Linked DNA regions of Mus musculus. The protein of the gene in region 1 interacts with the protein of each later gene in a biochemical or structural test. Links are inferred from orthologs where the notes say so. Each region holds a gene or a part of one and is shown on either strand. Other genes may lie near its edges.

Evidence for each region.
Region 2: the proteins of Nrip1 (region 1) and Esr1 form a complex in vitro, tested with the Homo sapiens proteins (4 studies listed by BioGRID, with this or other methods). The link is inferred for Mus musculus from reciprocal best matches to the Homo sapiens genes NRIP1 and ESR1.
Region 3: the proteins of Nrip1 (region 1) and Rxra form a complex in vitro, tested with the Homo sapiens proteins (2 studies listed by BioGRID). The link is inferred for Mus musculus from reciprocal best matches to the Homo sapiens genes NRIP1 and RXRA.
Region 4: the proteins of Nrip1 (region 1) and Ahr form a complex in vitro, tested with the Homo sapiens proteins (2 studies listed by BioGRID). The link is inferred for Mus musculus from reciprocal best matches to the Homo sapiens genes NRIP1 and AHR.
Region 5: the proteins of Nrip1 (region 1) and Nr5a1 form a complex in vitro, tested with the Homo sapiens proteins (2 studies listed by BioGRID). The link is inferred for Mus musculus from reciprocal best matches to the Homo sapiens genes NRIP1 and NR5A1.
Region 6: the proteins of Nrip1 (region 1) and Thra form a complex in vitro, tested with the Homo sapiens proteins (4 studies listed by BioGRID). The link is inferred for Mus musculus from reciprocal best matches to the Homo sapiens genes NRIP1 and THRA.

Annotation. Positions count from the first base shown.
Region 1 is NC_000082.6:76,289,977-76,293,049, forward strand, and holds part of Nrip1 (nuclear receptor-interacting protein 1), read right to left. Parts: coding exon 1,206-3,073; 3' UTR 1-1,205. UniProt on the Homo sapiens protein: Modulates transcriptional activation by steroid receptors such as NR3C1, NR3C2 and ESR1. Also modulates transcriptional repression by nuclear hormone receptors.
Region 2 is NC_000076.6:4,709,008-4,712,957, reverse strand, and holds the start of Esr1 (estrogen receptor), read right to left. Parts: upstream 2,801-3,950; 5' UTR 2,664-2,800; intron 993-2,663; exon of another isoform or gene 847-992; intron 646-846; 5' UTR 575-645; coding exon 111-574; intron 1-110.
Region 3 is NC_000068.7:27,750,201-27,753,700, reverse strand, and holds part of Rxra (retinoic acid receptor RXR-alpha), read right to left. Parts: intron 1,390-3,500; coding exon 1,260-1,389; intron 1-1,259. UniProt on the Homo sapiens protein: Receptor for retinoic acid that acts as a transcription factor.
Region 4 is NC_000078.6:35,500,735-35,503,989, reverse strand, and holds part of Ahr (aryl hydrocarbon receptor), read left to right. Parts: coding exon 1-277; intron 278-3,255. UniProt on the Homo sapiens protein: Ligand-activated transcription factor that enables cells to adapt to changing conditions by sensing compounds from the environment, diet, microbiome and cellular metabolism, and which plays important roles in development, immunity and cancer.
Region 5 is NC_000068.7:38,701,043-38,704,542, forward strand, and holds part of Nr5a1 (steroidogenic factor 1), read right to left. Parts: intron 1,045-3,500; coding exon 925-1,044; intron 1-924. UniProt on the Homo sapiens protein: Transcriptional activator. Essential for sexual differentiation and formation of the primary steroidogenic tissues. Binds to the Ad4 site found in the promoter region of steroidogenic P450 genes such as CYP11A, CYP11B and CYP21B.
Region 6 is NC_000077.6:98,755,285-98,758,784, forward strand, and holds part of Thra (thyroid hormone receptor alpha), read left to right. Parts: intron 1-823; coding exon 824-891; intron 892-1,638; coding exon 1,639-1,739; intron 1,740-3,500.

The DNA.
Region 1 (3,073 bases):
TGGATATGTGACTGTATTGGGGGAAAAGTATAGGCATCAGATAGTTACTTTAAAGTCTCATGTTCTGGAAAAGTCCTAAGCCACAGTTTTCAAACATCAGTGTGCGGAAGAAGCACATACAGAACATGTCAGGATACAGGCGGAAGGAGGACGCCCGGGTCCACTTGGAGACGGTGTTCTGTAGACCTGAGATGCTGCCTAGGAGTCTGCATTTAAATAACTGTTCCAGAGACTCATGTGATAGTCAGATGAATGCAGTGTCTCTGTCCAGAATTAAGAAATCCTGGTTGTAAAGTCACGGGTCCCACAGGAGTGGTGAGGATCAACTTTCAAAAGAGACGGTAAAAACCATCCAAAGAAAACCCATTTCTGCTTTTGTTAAAAACGATTTCTAAGTAGTCAATTGTCCAGGAAACAGCCTGAAGGTGAGTGAAGATTTCCTTCTCTAATTTTGAAAAAGGAGGAGTATTAATTTAGTAAAGTAGTCAAAATATAAAAAAATGGAAATCTGCCTTTTATTTTTAAGGATCTATTAAACTCCCCTCTATTGTAATCAATTGTTACTAAATAGTAAAAGGTTTAAAGAAATATATATATTGAAAAGGTCTGGGGTGGGGCAGACTCATTGGGAACCGCAAAACCCCTTCCAAGAGTTAAAAAGAATTTTGTTTAGCAAAAGTGAAAAAATGTAAGCATTGCTTTTTCTTACTTTTAGACTGATGAGGTGTGAATCAGCACAAGGCTTCTGGGTTTTTTTTTTTTTCCTAATTTGGTTATCTTCCAAATAGCTAACAGTTTGGATGTTACAAACACGTTATGTAGGCTGGCTTCTGAGATGGGAAATGAACAACCCTAATAAAGACAGCAAGTTGCATCAATCCACTACTGGTGAAGTTGTGCATTTTAATGTATGCCTCTTATTTACGATTATAAAAACAGGTTCATTCGTAGGCTAGTCACAGTTGTTATCTGATGCATACAGAAATAGTAAACAACCAACCTCGAGTTCAATTGTTTCCTCATGACATCTAATGTTAAGCAAAAATTAGTATGCATATTTAAACATCACCAGTGACCAATACTTTCAAAAGGAAGGAGTTTCAGTTATACCATGCTTTTCTCAAATCATGCTCTTATTTATACAGATCTCAAGTTCATACTGACTAAATTTTAAAAAGACCCAAAGTGGTATGGCAGGTACACATTTATTCTGACTCTTTTTTTATGGTGAGCGCGTTTCCCAGAAGTCCATACACTTCTCCATTTGTACTGTGTGGGCGAGAAGCATTATTTCCCATATGGCTATTGTACGGGCTTCTTAGATTAAAGAAAGAAGCTTTAGTTTCTGCAGCGGGAAGTAGCTCTTCTTTGACTGTAACCTGTGAGAGACTCTCGGCTGACGCAGGCTCCCTCCAGATGTCTTTGTCCTGGGTTTCTTGTGTGGTAACAGAATTGCCCCCTCCCTTCTGGAGCATGTAATAGAGGATCGGATTAGTTTTGGTCAGTCTTGGAGAGTCTTTTTCGTATTCATTCTTATCCATATCTGCGATGACCCACTTAATGGGTCCCTTCTCACCGGGCACGGAACATCCATTCAAAAGCCCAGGTTCTGGTCTGGACCCCACACAGCCCAAGTGCTCTGGGAAAGGAGGGCTCAGAGGGGTCTTTACCATTCCCGGGTATGAAAATGTCCTATGATCCGTCACACAACTGCCAGGCTGCGGGGAACTATACATCAGTCCATTTAAAGAAGAAATGCCGAATTCAGGTTTGCTGCCGGGCGCGTTGTTTTTGTGTCCTTTCTTTTTCGTGTCGGGGACAGAGTCACTCCTGTGTGGGGACAGATCTCGCACACAGTTCTCGGAGAGCAGCAGCTGCTTGAGAACATTGAAGCTTTTGCTCTCTCTGGCCCAACTCCTGTGGTCACCATCGCTGGCTGAACTATGCCCAGCAGGGTATTTATAATCGAGCTCATTCCTGCTAAACTTCAGCTCTTCCTGATGAAGCAACGACCCGTAGAGTACTTCCGGGCCGCTGTGATGATTGGCAGTATCTACGGCAGTATTTTTCATCTTTTTAAATGGATTCTCCAGTGGTTCCGTATACAGCTTCCTTTTCTTCGGGACCATGCAGATGTTCTTCGACTCCAGGGTTGGCAGCTCACTGTTTCTGTGACTCTTGTCCTGCTCATCTGCCGGGTAACTCTCTTGATTCTGTCTCAGCAAGCGACTCAACAGCCCGTTCTTTGAGAAAGAGAAATCCTGAGGTGAAGCAGGCTCGGATTTAAAGTCCTCCGACACTGGTAAGGCCGCTGTGCTCCTGTGGATGGCGGGAGTCACACCTAAGAAGGGGGCGCTCTTGGCATCGTGGTTTAAGGGCAGGTTTGTGTTGTGGGTCTGGAAGTCGTCACAAGGCTCGGATTTAATCTTCACCATGAGTATCTGTTCATTTGCAGCCCTCTCCGAATGCTCCTGAGGAGCCTCGTCTCGTGCGGGGGTTTTCTCTTTCTTCTCATTCTTCCCTTTGCTGGAATTTCCCAGGAGCAACTGAAGGACAGTCCGTCTTTCCAAGAGATTTTCTATCTCACAACCAGGAAGTCCCGGCTCAGGCCCGGCAGGCTGACTGCTGAAGGCTTTGCTCTCTTCAGCCGCATTGGTTTTATTTGAGAGCAGAGGGCTGTTTAATCTATCAATCAGACCGAGAGGTTTGTCTGGGTTTCCACTTAACAGCTGTTTGCAGGGTCTCTGCTCTTCCCCTGGCCCGGAAGACTGCAATCCGCACTGAGCCAAATTTTGTAACAGTTTACTGGCACTGAACGTGGCGGAATTTTGTGCACCTTCACTCGGGGCTGGTTTCTCGGCTTGGGACTCTTTGCCTTTCGTGAGGTCCATCAGGTGGCTAGGCGCGGTGTTCGTGAGCTTGGAAGCGGGAGTACTGCAGGCATACGGCGGGGAATTCCACTTGATGACCAGAGAGTGCTGGGAAAGATTGATGGGAGACTCTGCTTGGCTGGCTGTATACAGTGGTGGAGTGCTCACTGGGGTAGTCCTGTTGGTACTGGGGCTTTCGATGA
Region 2 (3,950 bases), on another chromosome or scaffold:
CTTCCCCGAGGGCTGGGATGGGGAGACCTGCAGCCCGCGGTGACCCCCCTCGTGCGCTCCCTCCCCCGGCCAGGCCTTACACAGCGGCCACCCCGATGTGGCGCGGGTACCTGTAGAAGGCGGGAGGGCCGGTGTCGCGCACGGCGTAGGCGCTGGGCTCGTTCTCCAGGTAGTAGGGCACCTGCTGGCCGTGCGGGTGCAGGAAAGGAGACAGCTGCGGCGGCGGGTGCAGCAGCATCAGCGGGCTAGGCGACACGCTGTTGAGCTGGGGGAAAGCCCCCAGGCTGTTGGCACTGAAGGCGGCCGCCTCCGACCCGGGGCCGTAGGCGATGCCCGACTGGCCGTAGACCGGCGCCGAGGCGGCGGCGGCGGCGGCGGCGGCGGCGTTGAACTCGTAGGCGGCGCCCTCGGGGTAGTTGAACACAGTGGGCTTGCTGTTGTCCACGTATACCTCGCCCAGGGCCCTCTCCATGGGCATCTTGAGCTGCGGGCGGTTGAGGGGCTCCAGCTCGTTCCCTTGGATCTGGTGCAGCAAGGCCATTCCCGAGGCTTTGGTGTGAAGGGTCATGGTCATGGTAAGTGGCAGCCGGCGAGTTACAGACTGGCTCCCCGCGCACGCAGAGGGCTCAGCAGCGCGTGGGCCACCTGGAAAAAAGAGTAGAGCCTGCGATTAGAGAAGGCGCAGCGCAAGTCCCCCTTGGCACGAGTACTGGCCCTGGCCCTGCCTCTGCCCCTGCGGGGCAGAGCTATCCTGCAGAACACAGGTGACCCAACTCCAAGGAGCGCACCCAGACGCTCCCGGGTTCTCCAACTTTACATACTCCTCTCCTCTGCTCTTAGACAAACCTGCTGGAAGCCACTGGCCAGGGGCTGCAGCTTCCAGGCACTACTGGGAACATCACACTGTGCGTGCACCCAAGGAACCGCTAGCTTCCTTGAACTTAACTTTCCAGGTCTTCGCTGCTGGATTTCGCTGCAGGGGGTGAAAGCAGCAAAGGGACCTCCAGGAGCCGCGCCCCTACCACTCCCCCCATCCCAAGGAAGACTAGGTTTGCAACAAATGCAGACTAAGCCACAGGCCATTTTCTTTCTTTCTTTCTTCTTTTCTTTTTTTCTTTCTTTCTTTCTTTTCCTGATGTGTTGCCTGTGTGCCTCTGCCAAGCTCCAATCTGTCTCTGTTTTGTCTTCCTTTCTATTTGATTCAGTCTTCTTGTTGGCTGGAAGTACGCAGTGTATGCATAGAATGACCCTGGAGGGACGGTAACTGTATCTGTAACTGAGATATGGCAAATAGGATGGGGTGTGTGATTGCATATGCAGCCAGCCACCGACAGCTATATTTAGCACCAGTGGACACAGATAGGAGGCATCTAGGGCCAGACGAGTGGAGATGGACTATGTATAGGAAGAGCTGCACTTGGAGTCAAGAGAAAACTGCCAGCCTTCAGCTTCCTCTTCTGACAAAAAAATAAAAATAATAATTTTTTTAAAACGCTCCCCAAGAAAGCACAGCCATGGCAATTTTGCCCAGCCTAGCTTTTCTGTTTTTGTTGGACCCCGGTGCCAAATTTGCTTCCTTTAGAAATTCTCATGTGGATATGATTCAGAAAAACCTTCGGTTAGGCACACTTGGGTGTCCCTACCTTCCACAGGTTATGCAACCAAAAATTGGGAAAACCATGCAAGGACTAAGACATTTTCCCATAAAATATCACCTGAGGTCCTTGACTAAAGCTCTGGCGATCCGGTAACCTTGTCTGTCTAACCAGAAACTTTTGAAAGGCTCTCCTACCTTTCAGCTCTTGAATTCTACAAATGGACCTTCTGGGTTCCCTTGGCATAGGGTACACAGGAATCTAATACTCGAATGACAGAGAAGTTAAAATAAGTTTTTTATTCAGTATTGAATTAAATTCTGATTGAGCTCACACACACCTGTTATTGCAAATTTAGAAAAAAATTGCAGCTTGGATAGTTTGTACTTTCTTAATAAACTGCATATGCCCCAACCTAATATCCCCTAAAATAACCATTAGCATATGACTTGAATTGCTAGCCCATATACCCAGGAGAAGTACCTGACACATGCAAATGTCAAGGTTGCTGTTACTAATAGTAACACTTTAAAAATATTTTCTACTAAGCACACTATTTATCTAATTCTTAGAAAAACAGATAATTTTGGATAAACCACAGCTAAGCTGGCTTAAATCTAAAGACAAAGATGAGTTTTAGCACCCATAAGTATCATTGACAGCAAAGGAAGGGTTAAAAATACATTAGGTGAATCGCAGATATTTCTCTTTATGGCCAGCAACCATGACTTTCTAGAGCAATTTTTTCGTAGATGATTTAGTTCCCATAAATCACACTTTCAATTTTCAAATGCCTTTTAAAAAACACATGCAAAAGCAAGCACTTCAGATGAGACTCTTTAAAAATCTGAGCCTGCCAAATTATATATAAATGGCACAGAGAATCCTACAAGTCCGGAAAGCGGGAAAAAAAAAAAAAAAAGCCGCACAGATTTCCCCCCATAGAAAAACAGCACAGCTTCCTTCTCCAGCTAGGAGACAGACACTAAGCAGAAAGGTAAGTTGCTTTCTCAAATCGCTCAAGCTACAGAGAGAGAAAGAGAGAGAGAAATCAAAAGCCGATCCTACCCTGCTGGTTCAAGAGCGTCTTTCCAGAAATGTTCCATGGGTTTGTAGAAGTCAAGGGCTGAGACAGTAAGACGGAAGGAAGGAATGTGCTCGAATGATCGAGTGGCGCGGTGTGTGATCAAGGCAGAGCGTGTGTGGATGTGTTTGTATGTGGAGTGGCAGGGACTCTCGGGAAGCAGCCAGTAGGCAGGGCACTTGGCAGCCCCTCCCGGCAGACAAGGCAGCTGGGCTCCTGCACGAGCTGGATGAATGGCAGCGGGAGTCCGGGAGCCTTGCTGTCTGCTGAGGGACAGCAGTAGCCCCGCTAGAATCAGCATTCCTAGAAGAAACTCCAGCCCCCTTTGCTCCCTACCTGTAGAGCCAGAAATGTCCCGGTGCTTTCTATGGAGAGGGAAACTGAGATGGCTGTGAACCACAGGCTCACAGATAAACTAGAATGCCAGTCAAAGTGTGCAGAGATCAAGTTTATAAACTATGCCAGGATATCTTCTTCCTAAACGATGTCATTTAACAAGAAAAGCCTTCTGGGATACATATGAGTCAAGCCCTCTAGCCCTACTGTTCCCCTGAATAAGATGCTCAGTGACAATGCTACCAATAACATACAAAAGTCAGACTTCGCAATAAATATTTTTGGCATTCCAGGGATATGTTTCCAACTGAAATGCAAGACTCCCTCACTTCATTAGTCAAACCTACCAGCCTCTCTACCAATAGCCTACTGACTACTGTCTGTAAACACATCCCAGAAGAGGCATTATTTTAATCGTAAAGTTGGAACCATAAAATAGCTTTGCGTTAAAGCGATTACACGTTCACAGCTGTAGTTACCAGCATTGGTTGCAGACAGAGATCTTGTACCTCCAGTGCTGTCCCATGGATACACCTGGTTCTCAGTGCTTCTCTCCACCACAGTACAACACAGATTAACAAGGTACTCTGACTGTGTCCTCACCCTGGGTCCCAGGACACAGGAGGCCTAAAGGAGCCTTTGTTGTTTAGTAACTACTTTAGGTATTAAGTGACTCTAATCACAACGCCAGGAGTGGCCGGTCTCCAGCCCTAGGACCCTAGGCAGTTACCAAGAGATATATGAGTGGCACTTGGGCCAGTACAAAGAAAGAAATAGAAAGAAAATACTAATGATATCATGCTGCAACTATACGTTTTTGTGCTTGGAAAGACTCAAGGTCATTATATCGGGACTTAGACAAGTTCCCTCAACAATCAGCAATGACCATAAATATCTAATATATAAATAAGTATCGAGAAGTTGCGGTGTGAGTA
Region 3 (3,500 bases), on another chromosome or scaffold:
GGAGAGAAGACAGAACTCTGCACAAACAGCCAGGGGCTCCTTGACAAGGTGGCAGGAGCCTTTCAGCAGGTCCAGAAACTTCCCAAGCCTTGTGGTTCCCATATCCCGGCTCCAAGCCTACCGACCCCTTTTACAATGGGAAATGGAAGCAGTCAGCATTTGAGAAGTGGGGCCTGCTGATAAGCTTCTTGCCACAGGGGAGATCACGCCCAGAAATGTGACCTCAGGGTCCCCATAAGGATATGTGGGGCCAATTCTGCCTCATCTCATTTCTAGGCACCTGAGCCCCACACTGAGCAGGTCACCCGAGGCTCCACCCTAGAGCTGTCCCTTCTACATGGGTTGACATGCCTCAGTGGCAAGTGCTCACTGGGACACCTGTGTTAAGCGAGAAGGCCAGATGGCTCTGCAGTTCCTACAGCCGTGGCAGTTCCCCCTGAACAGTGCTTCCCAGCCTCAGAGAAGTCCTGTGTTCACATGCCCCATCCCACAAGCCCACCTAGGCAGAGGCAAACATGGCAGGATCCATCTTGTTCATCTCAGCAACCCATACCTACCAAGAGGTCTTTTCAAAGGGAAGTTAGGAAGATCAGTGCCCATGCGAGCCTCACCCCAACTAAATAGGTTCCAAAACAACAGGGAACCATCTCTGCTCATGGTATCTACTGGGGTGGGCTGAGGCTGAGAGCCCTTGGTGCAAGCAGAAAACCAAAGCAAGTCAGGGCACTCAGTCCCCTCGAGACAGCATGGTCTCCAGGGCTCTTCACCGGAGTGGGGTAGTGTCAACTGTCACCACAGTTCTGTGGCGAGCAAGAGTTGCAGGTGACATTCTCAATATATCCCCATCTCTCCACAGGTTGGCGATCTAAGTCTCTCGATCCTAACACCCCTACTGGTGACCTGGTGGACTCTGAGCAACAGTCAGCATGCCCCAATGCCCAGTTAATCAATAAGGACCAGGGCAGCCTACAGACCTAGCCTCAGCCCAAGTTCCAAGGCTACACTCCTTCCCGACAGTCCCCTTGGCTATGAGAGACACACACTCTTATGCTCCAGACACTTGCATCAAGACCTCTGCTCAGAAAAAAGCCTGAAGCTTCCAAGGTGACACGGCTGCAGAGGTCACATAGACCTGGCGGGCAGCCGAGGAGACCCTTTACTGACTTTCTAAGCTGGAAGGGGAAGGTAGCGCTATACCGCATGCAGGAGTGGGCAGGAGCCCACTGATCCACTAGCAGCCACTTGCCCAGGCTACTCACCTGCCCGTAGCAGGATGACCTGGTCGTCTAGGGGCAGCTCAGAAAAGTGTGGGATCCTCTTGGCCCACTCCACAAGAGTGAAGAGCTGCTTGTCTGCTGCTTGACAGATGTTGGTAACAGGGTCATTTGGCTAGAACGGAGAAAGGACATTGATCAAACCTCACACCTGATAGCCGACAGAGCCACCTCACCCCACACAAAACACCCATGGAGTGGGGTCCCAGGATCTGCATCCCAAACCATCGGAGGCCTGGCACAGTGAAAGGACTCTGAGAAGAGATCCACCATAGTAACAGGCTGGAGGAAGCCCTGGCTTATTGGAGCGGGACTAGTACCAAGGCAGTGGTCATCAGAAGAAGCAGGAGGCTGTAAGTCAGAAGGGATGTTATCAGGAAAAGCAGATTAGAGGACATGGCTGACCTGAAGCTGGCAGGAGTCCCAAGTCAGGGGGCCTGGGGAACCTCCAAATCAGGAAAGGCAGGAAGATAAGAGTCAGCGCTGCCCAAAACCTGACTGGGGCCCATCAAGACAGACTAGGGTCACACAGCTCAATGGCTGAAGGAAACGTAATCTGTACCATGGAAGCCTATCAGGTCTTCCCCACCCCTGAGAGCAGGTGCTGGGGGAAGAGGAAAAGGAGCCATTTAACAGGAAGGTGAGGGAGCTGAGATAGGGCCAGACCCCATCTCTAAAGGTAGCAGTAGCCACCCAGGTGAGAAGTCCTATCAAACATGCAAGTACAAGCTTGGGGCTGGACTGGTCTTTGCTTGGTCCGGATTCCAAGTTGCAGGTAGAGGTGATATCACCAGAAGCCTTCTAGAAAGTTCTGCCCAGAAGAGGAACACCCAGGCCTTGTTATAGGTGAGGAACTCAGGTGGGCCTTACAGTAGGCTGGGAAGCCTACCCTGTCGGGTGGGCCAGGGTCACAGCCTCTGACCTCAGGGTGTGGTGGGCAAGAGTACCCAAGAACAGGATACAAGACTCCTGATTTTGAAAAAAGAAGTAGCCAAGCATCCGATAAGGAGAGAACTGTCGGCTTTAAAGGGCTTCCTTCAGCTGACAGAAACCATCTGCTCAGCAGTGACGTTCAGTCTAAACACCCAGCCCCGTGTGAAGGGCCCGTGAAGCGCTCAGTGAAAGGCACTGACAAATCAGCTTCCCATCACTGGCCTGGCAGGCCTGGCTGCAGGGAAGCCCAGGGCTGCAAGGACAGGGGACGGCAGCCCATGGTCCCCAGGACAGAGTCCAAAGGAATGGGTGACATCTCCCAGCCACACAACCCTCAGCAAACCTGAGAGGCCAGTGGAGCCCCGGCACCACAGGTACTAGGGACTGTCTGTCTGCAGCCTGGCTCTGCCTCTCAGCCACAAGGGGCTGCTCCGTGGATGTATTCCTTCCCTGCCATCTCCTGGGGAGGCAGCCCCAAGACAGGAGACAGTGAGGGCCCTAAGCCAGCTGGGAGAATGCATAGACCGGACTGTAAGACAACAAGCCTCACACCCAAGCTCTGTGATCTCAGCTTTCTCCCTGGCCGCCACCCTCTTGAATCCAGTGTCACAATACTACTATGATTGGGAAAAAGAGCTCAAAGTTATTCCGGGGCTGACTGTGGCCTCTGCGGCCATGTACACACATGCTGTCTGCCAGGACTGGACACAAGGCTTGAGCAGAGGAGCCGGGAAAGAAGGAGGCAGGGGCCACGTAGGTGTGAGGGCCCACACCCAGCAGGCACCCACAGGAGGGCTGTCTGGAAGGGAGGGCTGAGAGTACTCTGGTCCTGCCCTGTTCCGTTCCACTGTAGCTTCACTCCTCTCAGCAGACTCCACAGCAGACATTTAATGAGCTACCACTTGCCAGCTAGGCGTGGTCACAAGACCACCCAGGCAGGACCCGGAGGAGCCAGCAGCCCATCTGTGAGGCTAGGTGCAGCCTATCCTCCTCAGCTTGCCTGAGAGGTCCATGTATGTAGATCAAGGCCAGTCACAAGACACTGGAGCACACAGGCTTTCCACAGTGTCGCTCTAAAGACCTGAACCCTCATGGAAGAACAGCTAAGGCCACGTCTGAGGCCATTCCCAACAATGGCCTTACTTGATAAAGGAAAACCCTAGTCACCCTTCAGACCCCAGCCAACCACCCTCAGGCCCTAGTCCACAAAGCCGAGTCCTGCTGCTCTCCTCTCCCTTCCAGGACTGGGAAGAGGGCTTAGGGAACAGATGCCAACCAGAGCACTGGGCAGGT
Region 4 (3,255 bases), on another chromosome or scaffold:
TCCAGAACATTCCAAGAGTGTGCAGTTGGACTTCCCTGGAAGGGATTTTGAACCGTCCCTGCATCCCACTACTTCTAATTTAGATTTTGTCAGTTGTTTACAAGTTCCTGAAAACCAAAGTCATGGGATAAACTCACAGTCCGCCATGGTCAGTCCTCAGGCATACTATGCTGGGGCCATGTCCATGTATCAGTGCCAGCCAGGGCCACAGCGCACCCCTGTGGACCAGACGCAGTACAGCTCTGAAATTCCAGGTTCTCAGGCATTCCTAAGCAAGGTAAGGGCTTTCGACAGCTGAAAAAACCTTGTAGGCCTAAGCATCTCTGTATTACACTTAAACATATCATCATAACCCATTTTAGATAGCAAGCAACTTCGGAACTGCTTTCGTTATATTTATGGTCACGTAATTAACTTCATTATAGTTTACTTAAAATAGTATGAATAATAAATTATTTTAAATAATTTTCTTAAAAGCAAGTTGATGTTTAGATAATTTAATAACTGTTCTTTGTTACCCCCTCAGGAGGATATCATGCTTATATTAATAAATTTCTCTTTACAAATATTAGCTTATTTGAAGATATACTGGTTTAGATTGTAAGAATATCTTGACTAACATGAAGTTTATTAAGTAACTATTCATGAGCTGTTTGAGTATAGCCATTTAAAAGTGTGGCTTAAATCACAGTCCTGGTTGCTTTTTAGATTGTGAGTGAATCTGCTGTGTCTGATTGTATGGGACTTTTTTTTTTTTGAATGGAGAATGAAGATGATAGTTTTGGTCAATCTTTTTCCTGAAAATTTTTAGGAAAAAGATTTCCTAAAAATTTTTAATAGTTATTATAAAGAAAATGGATTAACCATACTTTGGATATAATTTACTCATAAAAGAATAGAATATTAGTATTTGCCTCAAAGCGGTGTGTCTGAAGGACATTATAGAATATAGAGAGCATCCATGTGTGCAAACCTCCAAGGCTGATCCCTCAGATGCTGGAAATGGCCGCAGAGTGGGGCTGGCTATTGGGTAGTAACAGACAGATAGTGGGAGTAACTTCGGCTCTTCTACAACATAGCAGGATGACAGAAGTTCACAACAGTTCATTGCATGATTCAAAATCACTAGAAAAAAAGGAAATCAAAGGTTCTTCATGCAAATAACAGATGAGTGTTCACAGTGAAAGATAATTGCCTGATTTGCTTACACACTATATAGATGAATTGAAATGTCACATTGTAACCTGTTCATATGAGTAATTGTGCGGCAGTGAAAAAAATAACAACATTTCTAGCCTGGAGAGATGGCTTGGCAATTAACATTTGCTTACCCTTCTTGATCCCCAGCACCCACATGGGAGCTCAGAACAGTCCACAGTTTCCACTTCCAGGCACCCAGTGCTCTCTCTGCACCCTTGAGCACTGCATACTTGTGTTGCACATGCACGTGTGTGTGTGTGTGTGTGTGTGTGTGTGTGTGTGTGTGTGTGTATACATACAAACATACATCATGCAGGCAAAACAACTATACACATAATATTTTATTCTTAATTTATTATTTTTGAAATGAACCATAATTGTATTCCTTTTCTGTTTCCCTTTTTTTTCTACAACCTTTCCCATCTACCATGTTTGCTCTCTTTCAGTTTCTTGGCCTCTTTTCTTTCATTGCTCTGTGTGTGTGTGTGTTCCTAAATATTTAAATACAACCTGCACAGTCTGTATATTACCTGTAGGACAACCCTGAGCAGCAACTCAAAAGGGTTTTTCTCATGCCTGGTGTTGGGGCTGTAGAGTGAATTTGAAGACAGTCTGGAAAATGGTGAGACACAGAACAAAAGGTCAAGAGTATAGCTAGCTCAGTGGTCGAGCCGGGTTAGCATGCACAAGGCCCTTCACTGGACCTCCAGCACTACACAAGAAGTGAGTAATTTGAGGCAACTAAAGGGATAATTTTATGATTTTTATTTTAATCTCAGTTTATTTCATCAACTACACCACAATGTGAAGTTTCTGTAGACTATAACTGTTATATTCGTTCTTCACTGTTTTAGCAGTTCTGGATATGAGACTGGTAAGAAGGCAGGTGTCTTAGTTAGGGTGTGAGGAAACAGCGTGACCAAAAGCTGTCTGAGAAGAAAGAGTTTAAATCACTCACAGCTCCACATAACAGGTCATCATCAAAAGCAGTAGGGTCAGGACCTCAAGCAGGGCAGGAACCTGGAGGCAGAAGCTCATGCAGAGGCCATGGCAGAGTACTTTCTACTGGATTGCCTTCTATTGCTTGCTCAGCCTGCTTTCTTATAGAGCCACACAATAGGCTGAGCCTACATCAATCACTAATTAAGAAAATGCCCTACAGGCTTGCCTGCCTACAGCCAGATTAGTGGAGGCATTTTCTCAATTGAGGCTGTCTCCCCTCAGTGACCTTAGCCGAGTCAAGTTGACATAAAACTAGCCAAACAACTGACTCCTTGTCAACCTGACACAAAACATTTTTCAGACAGAACCTTTCCTTTCGCATTTATCCCCAAGATAGCACATTAATATTACTACCACAATATAAAACATAAATGACTTTAAAAGTCCCACAGTCTTTACAAATGTGAGCACATTAAAAGTTCAATCTCTTTGAAATAACCATTCTCTTTAAAAAATTGGTTTTGTTTGTTTGTTTTTAAAAAAAGCCTTCAGCCCGTGCTGGGGCTACAGTTTGATCTTTTCTCAATTGAGAAATTCCTCTCTGATGCAACTAGCTAACCAAGCATCTTTTTTATTTGGTAACTTGCAGAACAATTTATTAAACACATTTTACAAATAAATTGGATTAAGATCATACCTGTAGTGTAACATTGCAAGAATAGCAAGAAACATTTAAAATCCAGATCTGGGCAAAAGTGCTGGTGTCTGAAATGCTGTGTAGAAGTTCGGATAGAATCAGTTCACTGCCTCCAGGTTTTTGATTGGTTGTGGCAGGACTGAATAACCCTTTGACACCCCATGTCACATAATTTCCCATCAGGCCCCAAGGCAGACGAAGTGAGATAGTTGTAGCGTTCGCTGTACCATCTTTAAATTATCTTGTAGGACTAATGAGAAAACCTGATCTTCCAAAAGAAGTCAGTGTGTGAGCGTTTCCTCTGTGTGATTTGAATGACGAAAGACTTAGCCATGAGCATCATCAGTACAGGACTGTAAAGTGAAACAACCCATAGGTCTAACAGACTAAAAGTCGTTTTTAAGGTCTTCCTCAGA
Region 5 (3,500 bases), on another chromosome or scaffold:
TTTTTGCACTCTTGTGGCCCAGAGTAACCCCTTTTGATCAGCATCCCCATTCCTTCTTCCAGTGGACTGAAACATGGGAGATATGAACCCAAAATGAGGACATAGGTCCTGAGAGGCAGGGGCAGGAAGTAGGACCTTGATCTGCATTTTGTTCCAGAACCCACTGTGCCCACTATTCAACCTGTGTCCCCTCATGAGGCCACTCTCCTGTCTCCAGAGATTTTCTTTTCTTCCTCCTACTTCTTTCCCTATACCTCCTCTCACCATCTCTGTGCTGTCCTCTTTAAATGTGTCCCAAACCCCAGCACTTTAGGCTCCTTCACCCACATCCACTAGGAACCCTAATGTCCCTCCTGTGGGTGGAGGTGGAGTTCAGGAGTTTCCAGGCCTTCCTAATGACTTCCCACCCCGTAATACATTCTCTGATCTAAAAGGGCCAAATTCTGAGTCTGAGCTCTCTTTACTTTTCGCCCACTCTTGTGTTCCTTCGTTCATTCGTTCATTCATTTATTCATTCATCATTTATGAGAATGGAGACCTACAGGGTCTCACCTGCTCACCAGCCCTTAGCAATGCCTGCAACCTCATCTCTTACACTTGCCACCCCACAGTTCCTTGGCCCTATTCCGAATCCCTTCTCAGAGTCCTAGATCCTGCAGCATCCACATGTGTGACAGCATAGACTGCCACCTGTCACTTCAGTACCAGCTGACCAACTCTGCCTTATTTTGGGGAGATCCAATTCCACTGTTATCTCCTATAAGAACTTCCACTGACCATTCCACACTGTGGCTCCTCAAATGGCCCCAGGACACAGAGAAGCCTGGCTAGTGCATGTCCCTGAATTTGGAATTTGGGGTGTCCCGAGTCAGCCTGGAGAGGCCTGGGATTATGCAGGACTAGGGGTTTGACCAGTTCAGTTACCTCCTGTCCAGTAACCAGCAGGATGCTGTCTTCCTTGCCGTACTGGACCTGGCGGTAGATGTGGTCCAACACCAGCAGCTCGCTCCAACAGTTCTGCAGCAGTGTCATCTGGTCAGCCACCTGTAGGGAAGAATAATGCAGAGGTCTAGCTGGGGACTGTCCTCCGGGCCCTTCTCTCAACTCTCTGCTCAAAGTCTCAGATGGAGACTATCTTCCCAGCTGTTTGCTTCATTGGGTCCCAGTGAGGGCCTCCTTCAGGCCCCCATTAGATGTGTGACCTCACACGTGTCCCAGAGTTTTTCTGGACCTCCATGTTTTCAATCGTTCAGTGACTCCCGGTGTTTGGAGAGGGCCAGTCACATATCCCACACCCAGGAAATGTCAAAGACTAGGAGTTAATGCTGTGAAGACCAACCCTCACCACTTATGCCCAGTAGAGGACCTGTGATCATGGCTGCCCCTGCAGGGTCCCTGGGGGGAGCTGCAGAGGTACCTAGGCTCCTGGGGAAGATAGAGGAGCTACTTGGCTCATGGGCTCTCAGCTGTCTGCAGCGATAACAGAACAATGAGCAAGGTAGATTCTAACGATCAGGGTGCAGTTGGGCCTTGGAGCCCAGGGGAAGACAGTCCCTGCTGAGTATCTCCCAACTCTGGGGTCATTGCATCCTCCCACAGAAAAGACAGATGCTTCCAACAGGAGCAACTTCTGCTTAGTGCCATGATAACTACAGCCAGAGACACTTTGCCATCTCCTCCTTCACCCCTATACCCAACCTCTCTTCCCTCACTGCCCTATCCCCACTCACCTCCTTTTTCCCCACCCAGCCCAAAGCCTTTCTTTTTAAAATAATTGTTTTACACTTGTGTGTGTGTGTGTGTGTGTGTGTGTGTGTGTACCACAGTGTGCATATAGAGGCCAATTCTCTTTTTCTACCACATGGGTTTTCCAGGAATGGGATTGAGGTTGGCTAGATCCTCCCAGCTCTCTCTGGACCACACCTTGCAGTGACTACCACCAGCCTTGCTGCATGTCAACCCCGTTGACAGTCCCCATCATTTTACAGAGAGAAGAAATTGAGCACTGAGCTCAGGCAAGGCACCTATGGTTGTACAGCTCAGTGTGAGTCTAGGTCCATGCTCTTTACCAGACATAGAAGACAACCTCCCCGCTTGTCCCACTTGCCACCAGGACTTCAGAGTCTCCTACAGACTGGTTACCTTGTCCATGAAGCCCCAGCTCAACCCTGCTTTCTCACTACCCTTTGGAGCTAAGATGGCACCAATCCATGCCTGTCTTTCCTGGTACTTTGGAGTATGAGAGGGCAGGACTGGCTTCCCCCATGCCACTGTTGGCCCTTCAGGCATCAGCAAGAGGCTGATGAAGGACACTCACTCCATAAAGCTTCATCCTTCCCTCAAGCCCAAGGAGAGATAACTAGACGTAAAAACTAGCTCTGCCCTCAGTTTAGCAGCCTTTCCCTCTTCTCTGGGGCGTCCTCAGGCAGGTGATGAGAAAGGAGAGGACAGGTGTGTGGGCTAGTCTTATGTCAACTTGACACAGCTAGAGTCAACTGAGAGGAGGGAACCTCAGCTGGAAAAATGTATCCATACGGTTGAGCTGGAAGGAGACCTACAGGGCATTTACTTAATTGGTGATTAGTGTGGGGGGAAACACGCCACTGTTCTAAGCTGGTGGTCCTGGTTCTATAAAAAGGCAGGCTGCTCAAGCCATGGGGAACAAGCCAGTAAGCAGCATCCTCCTTGGCCTCTGCATCAGCTCCTGCCTCTGGGTTCCTGCCCACTTTGAGTTTCTGTGTTGACTTCCCTCAATGACTGTAGCTCAGGATATGTAAGCCAAAGAAACCCTTTCACGCCTAAATTGCTTTTGGTTTTGGTTTTGCGTTTCAACACAGCCATAGTAATCCTACCAAAGACAGAGGGTCAAAAGGAAAGAGCATCCAGACAGTCATGCAGGCTCCTCGGGACCCCACCCACCCACCCCTGCTCCAACACACAGGGCAGGAGAGCAGGGGGGGCCTGCTTCTGCCAGTCCTTACCCATCTCCTCTGGGTCCCTAGCCTAGGCCTCTCTGCTTGTCCTGAGCCCCATCACTGTTAGAACTGAGACCCAGCCTCTGACCGCGGCTACTCCCCATCTCTCCTCACATTTCCCTCTCCATCACTCTTTCCAAGGAGTAAACTAAAACGCAGTGCCAGAGCCCCTCATGCCTGCCAAGGTGACAGATACTCATGGGACAGATAGTCAGACAGAATCACCCAGGTGAAACCAGGCAGGGGGATCTAGAAAGTTCTCTGGGGCCCCTTAGAACTTCTGGATGCCTGGGTGGGGGAAAAAAAAAACCTATAAGACGGTCACAGTGGCAACAAAGTAAATAGAGACCCATGTGGGTGACCCAGAAAGAGGCCCAGCAGGGTTGAGCATTCTCTGTCCCCATCTCAGGCATAGGCGCAGATACCCTTGTGCCCAGATGGAAGAAGCAGGGCAGGAGAGACGATAAAGAGGAGTAATAGGAGATAAGCAGACTGAGCCTTGGCAGAAGGCAGAGAGGTCACATC
Region 6 (3,500 bases), on another chromosome or scaffold:
CTGATTCTGGCGTGGTGTCCCAGCGTACAAAAGGCCCTTTGGTTTTCCTATTTGTTAACTGGAGGCTGTGAACAGGGTAACCCTGATATTTTCAGTCCATGTGGGTTATTTAGCATGTGTACATGACCTAGAGATTGAGGAACATGTTCACACGGGACAGAGGGACGACACCATTAGGTGCCTGTCCAGAGGCTTTCTGTAGCACATGGGTACCTAGCAGAAGTCTTAGAGAATGCCCAGAAAATTGCATGCAATTGTAGATCCTAAGGCTTATTACCATACTTGGGTTTATGCTGAAGGCTGCATAGTTATTCACACTCGTGGGTGTGATATTGCATATATATATATATATATATATATATATATATATATACATACATTTGAAAGGTTATATAGATTTAAGAATATTCCAAGGAGTGTCCTATATATTGTGGCTGGAATGTATATGTGTGTATGTGCGCCTTAGAGCAGCGCCTTCCTGTGACGGGTGTCTGTGTGTTTGGGGACTTTTGAGCATTGCTTAAATGTGAGATGTGTGTGTTTGTGTTTTGGGGTCTCACAGCAATACCTGTCTGTGTGACTGTACTGGGCCCTCAAACATGGTTTTGGCCCCATCTAAGCCCCTTATCTCTCCCATGCAGCGACCAGATAGCTAGACCCTTTCCAAGCTTTGTCAGCTGATATAGGGGTGGGGGGTAGAATAAGGGCATAAGGAGGGGGGAGAAACCAAGCCTGGGGGAGTGGAAAGGGGTGAAGTCTCTTAGGTGGGAAGAGACTGCCCAGAGGCTACTCTGTGTGATTCTGCCCACTTTGCCCCATGCAGTGCCAGGTCACCAGATGGAAAGCGAAAAAGAAAGAACGGCCAATGTCCCCTGAAAAGCAGCATGTCAGGTGAGCCTGGCTACATGTGTCCCTTACCCTCCCACTTCCCCTCCCCCCACAGCACACTTGGCCTCCTCCCAGGCTAGGCCTGGACCTCCTGTGTCTCTGGAGGGAACAGCCTACAGAACATGGGTTGGATTTGTCTGGTGGTGAGAATAGTGATTCAAAACCTATTCTGGCCTTTGAGGAGGATGTAGGTCAGGAAGGGCCTCTTTGACCCTCCCATGACCTCCTCATCAATGGTTCCACCGGCCCCAGGGCATCTGTTCTCCTAAGATGGTTGCTTCTTCTCCAAGTCCCTTACTCTATTCTATCACTTAGATGTAACGTGGAAGAAAACAAAAGAGCCCTACCTAGGCCAAGTACAATGGCACCTACCTGCAGTTAGTGCTGTTTGGGATACCCATATAGGAGGATGGCTTGAACCAGGGGTTCAAGGCCTGCCTGGGGAACATAATAAGATCCAGGCTCAAAAATAAATACATGGAAGTGAGTTGGGTCCCTGAGTGGACAGTCAGAAAAAAAAAAGACTTCCATTATATATATCTGAAGGGAAAGGGAGGGGCAATCCCCACCCCCTCCTCCCCTGGTACGTCCCCAGGGTTTTTCCTTTCTACTTTGAGATAAGGAGCCCCTCCCTCCGTGGTGATGGACTGGGAGAGGGTTGAGAAAGGCCAAGTTGGGTGGGTACAGTGTAGGAGCTGCTCTGATGGGCTCCGCCCCATGCCCACTGCCTTCACCCTTTCCCCCTCCCAGGGTATATCCCTAGTTACCTGGACAAAGACGAGCAGTGTGTCGTGTGTGGGGACAAGGCCACCGGTTATCACTACCGCTGTATCACTTGTGAGGGCTGCAAGGTATGGATGAGCCGTCTCCCGTCCGCCCCTCTCCCGTTGCTGGTTCCCCTTTGAGTCTGATACCTGGCGTAATTCAGTCACATGTAACCTAGAGTGGACCGGTTGTATCCTTTTCTCTTCTGCATTTATCTGGTCACTTGTTCATTCATAACCCTTGCTGTGACACTCGTAGCTGTGACACTCGTATGCCATGTGTCTAACCTCTCTGAGCCTTGGTTTCTTCTTGCTACCTTCGTCATAGAGTTAATAAGCAAATTAAATGAGCTAATTCACCTGGCACGGCTTTAAGTAACTGCAGAGGGGTGGGAAGAGGATCTGGCAGAGGTGAGACTCGCGACTGTGATAGCCTTTAATACAGTGCCTAGCGCTGTCATAGGGTCAGACATCATTCATTCTTAGTGTGTTAGGAATGAGGGGTGTGAGGCTAAATGTACTGCACACCTGGGATTCTAGTACCTGGGAGACTGAGGCATAAAGATCATGAGTTCAAGGTCACCCTGGAATGTCTGGTTGGTTCTGGGCCAGCCTCAGCCACATGCCCAGTACAGTAGCACACAGATTTTATCCCAGTGCCCTGAAGGCACAGGCAGCCTAATGCCTGTGGGCTGAAGCCAACCTGATCCACACAGTGCATTCCAGACAATCCAAGGGTACACAGTGAGACCCTGTCTCAAAAAAAAAAAACAAAAAACAATAACAAAAACAAAAAAGAGCATGGTACACAGTATACATCATACTCTCAAACTCCTTGCAATCTACCAAAGAAGCAATCCACACAGGATCAGTGTCTTTCAGAACATAGGTCATGGAGGCTGGGGAGTTGGCCCTGTGGGAAAGTGCTTACTGTACAAGCGTGAGGATGCGAGTTCGGAGCCCCAGCTTCCACGCAGAGAGCTGAGCATGGCAGCATACCTGTCCGTGACCCAAAACTGTGAGACAGAAGCAGGAAGATGCCCGAGGCCTCCTGGCTAGCCAGTCCAGCTTGTCTGTCACATATGCTCCCTAGTGAGACCCTGTGTCACATAAAAAATGAGGTCCGGGGCTGGTGAGATGGCTCAATGGGTAAGAGCACCCGACTGCTCTTCTGAAGGTCCGGAGTTCAAATCCCAGCAACCACATGGTGGCTCACAACCATCTGTAATGAGATCTGACTCCCTCTTCTGAGTGTCTGAAGACAGCTATAGTGTATTTACATATAATAAATAAATAAATAAATAAATAAATATTTAAAAAAAAAAAAAAAGAGGTCCGAAAGGTGGAGAATGATTGAAGAGGACCCTAGGTGTTGACCTCTGGCCTCCAAGTGCACATACACAGGCACACACCCTGTGCATGCACACGCACATATGCTCTATACTGAAGATTCCTGGGCTACCGGCAGTAGTAAGTATACTGCAGATTCCCAAACTGTGTGTGTCCCCTACTTTGTCCAAACCTTATTGTGGTGGAGCCCAGGACTCTGCTTTTAACAGGAGTCCCAGGAGCTCCCAATGTATCCGGAAAAAACTAGGACCTGTGCTGAAGGGTCATGATGGGGACATAGAGGAGAAGATTGCCAAAGGTTCTTTTTAGCAGAGGATCAAAGGCCACAGACTTGGAAAAGCCTATTAGATACAACCTGTTTCAACCTGTATGGCTTTTCTGGGACCACCACCTCCTGCAGGTACAGGTCTTTCCAGAAGGAGATCATTTAAAAGTGAGACCAGGCATGGTGGCACATGCCTATAGCCCCATATTCAGAAGATGGAAGCAGAAGGATTA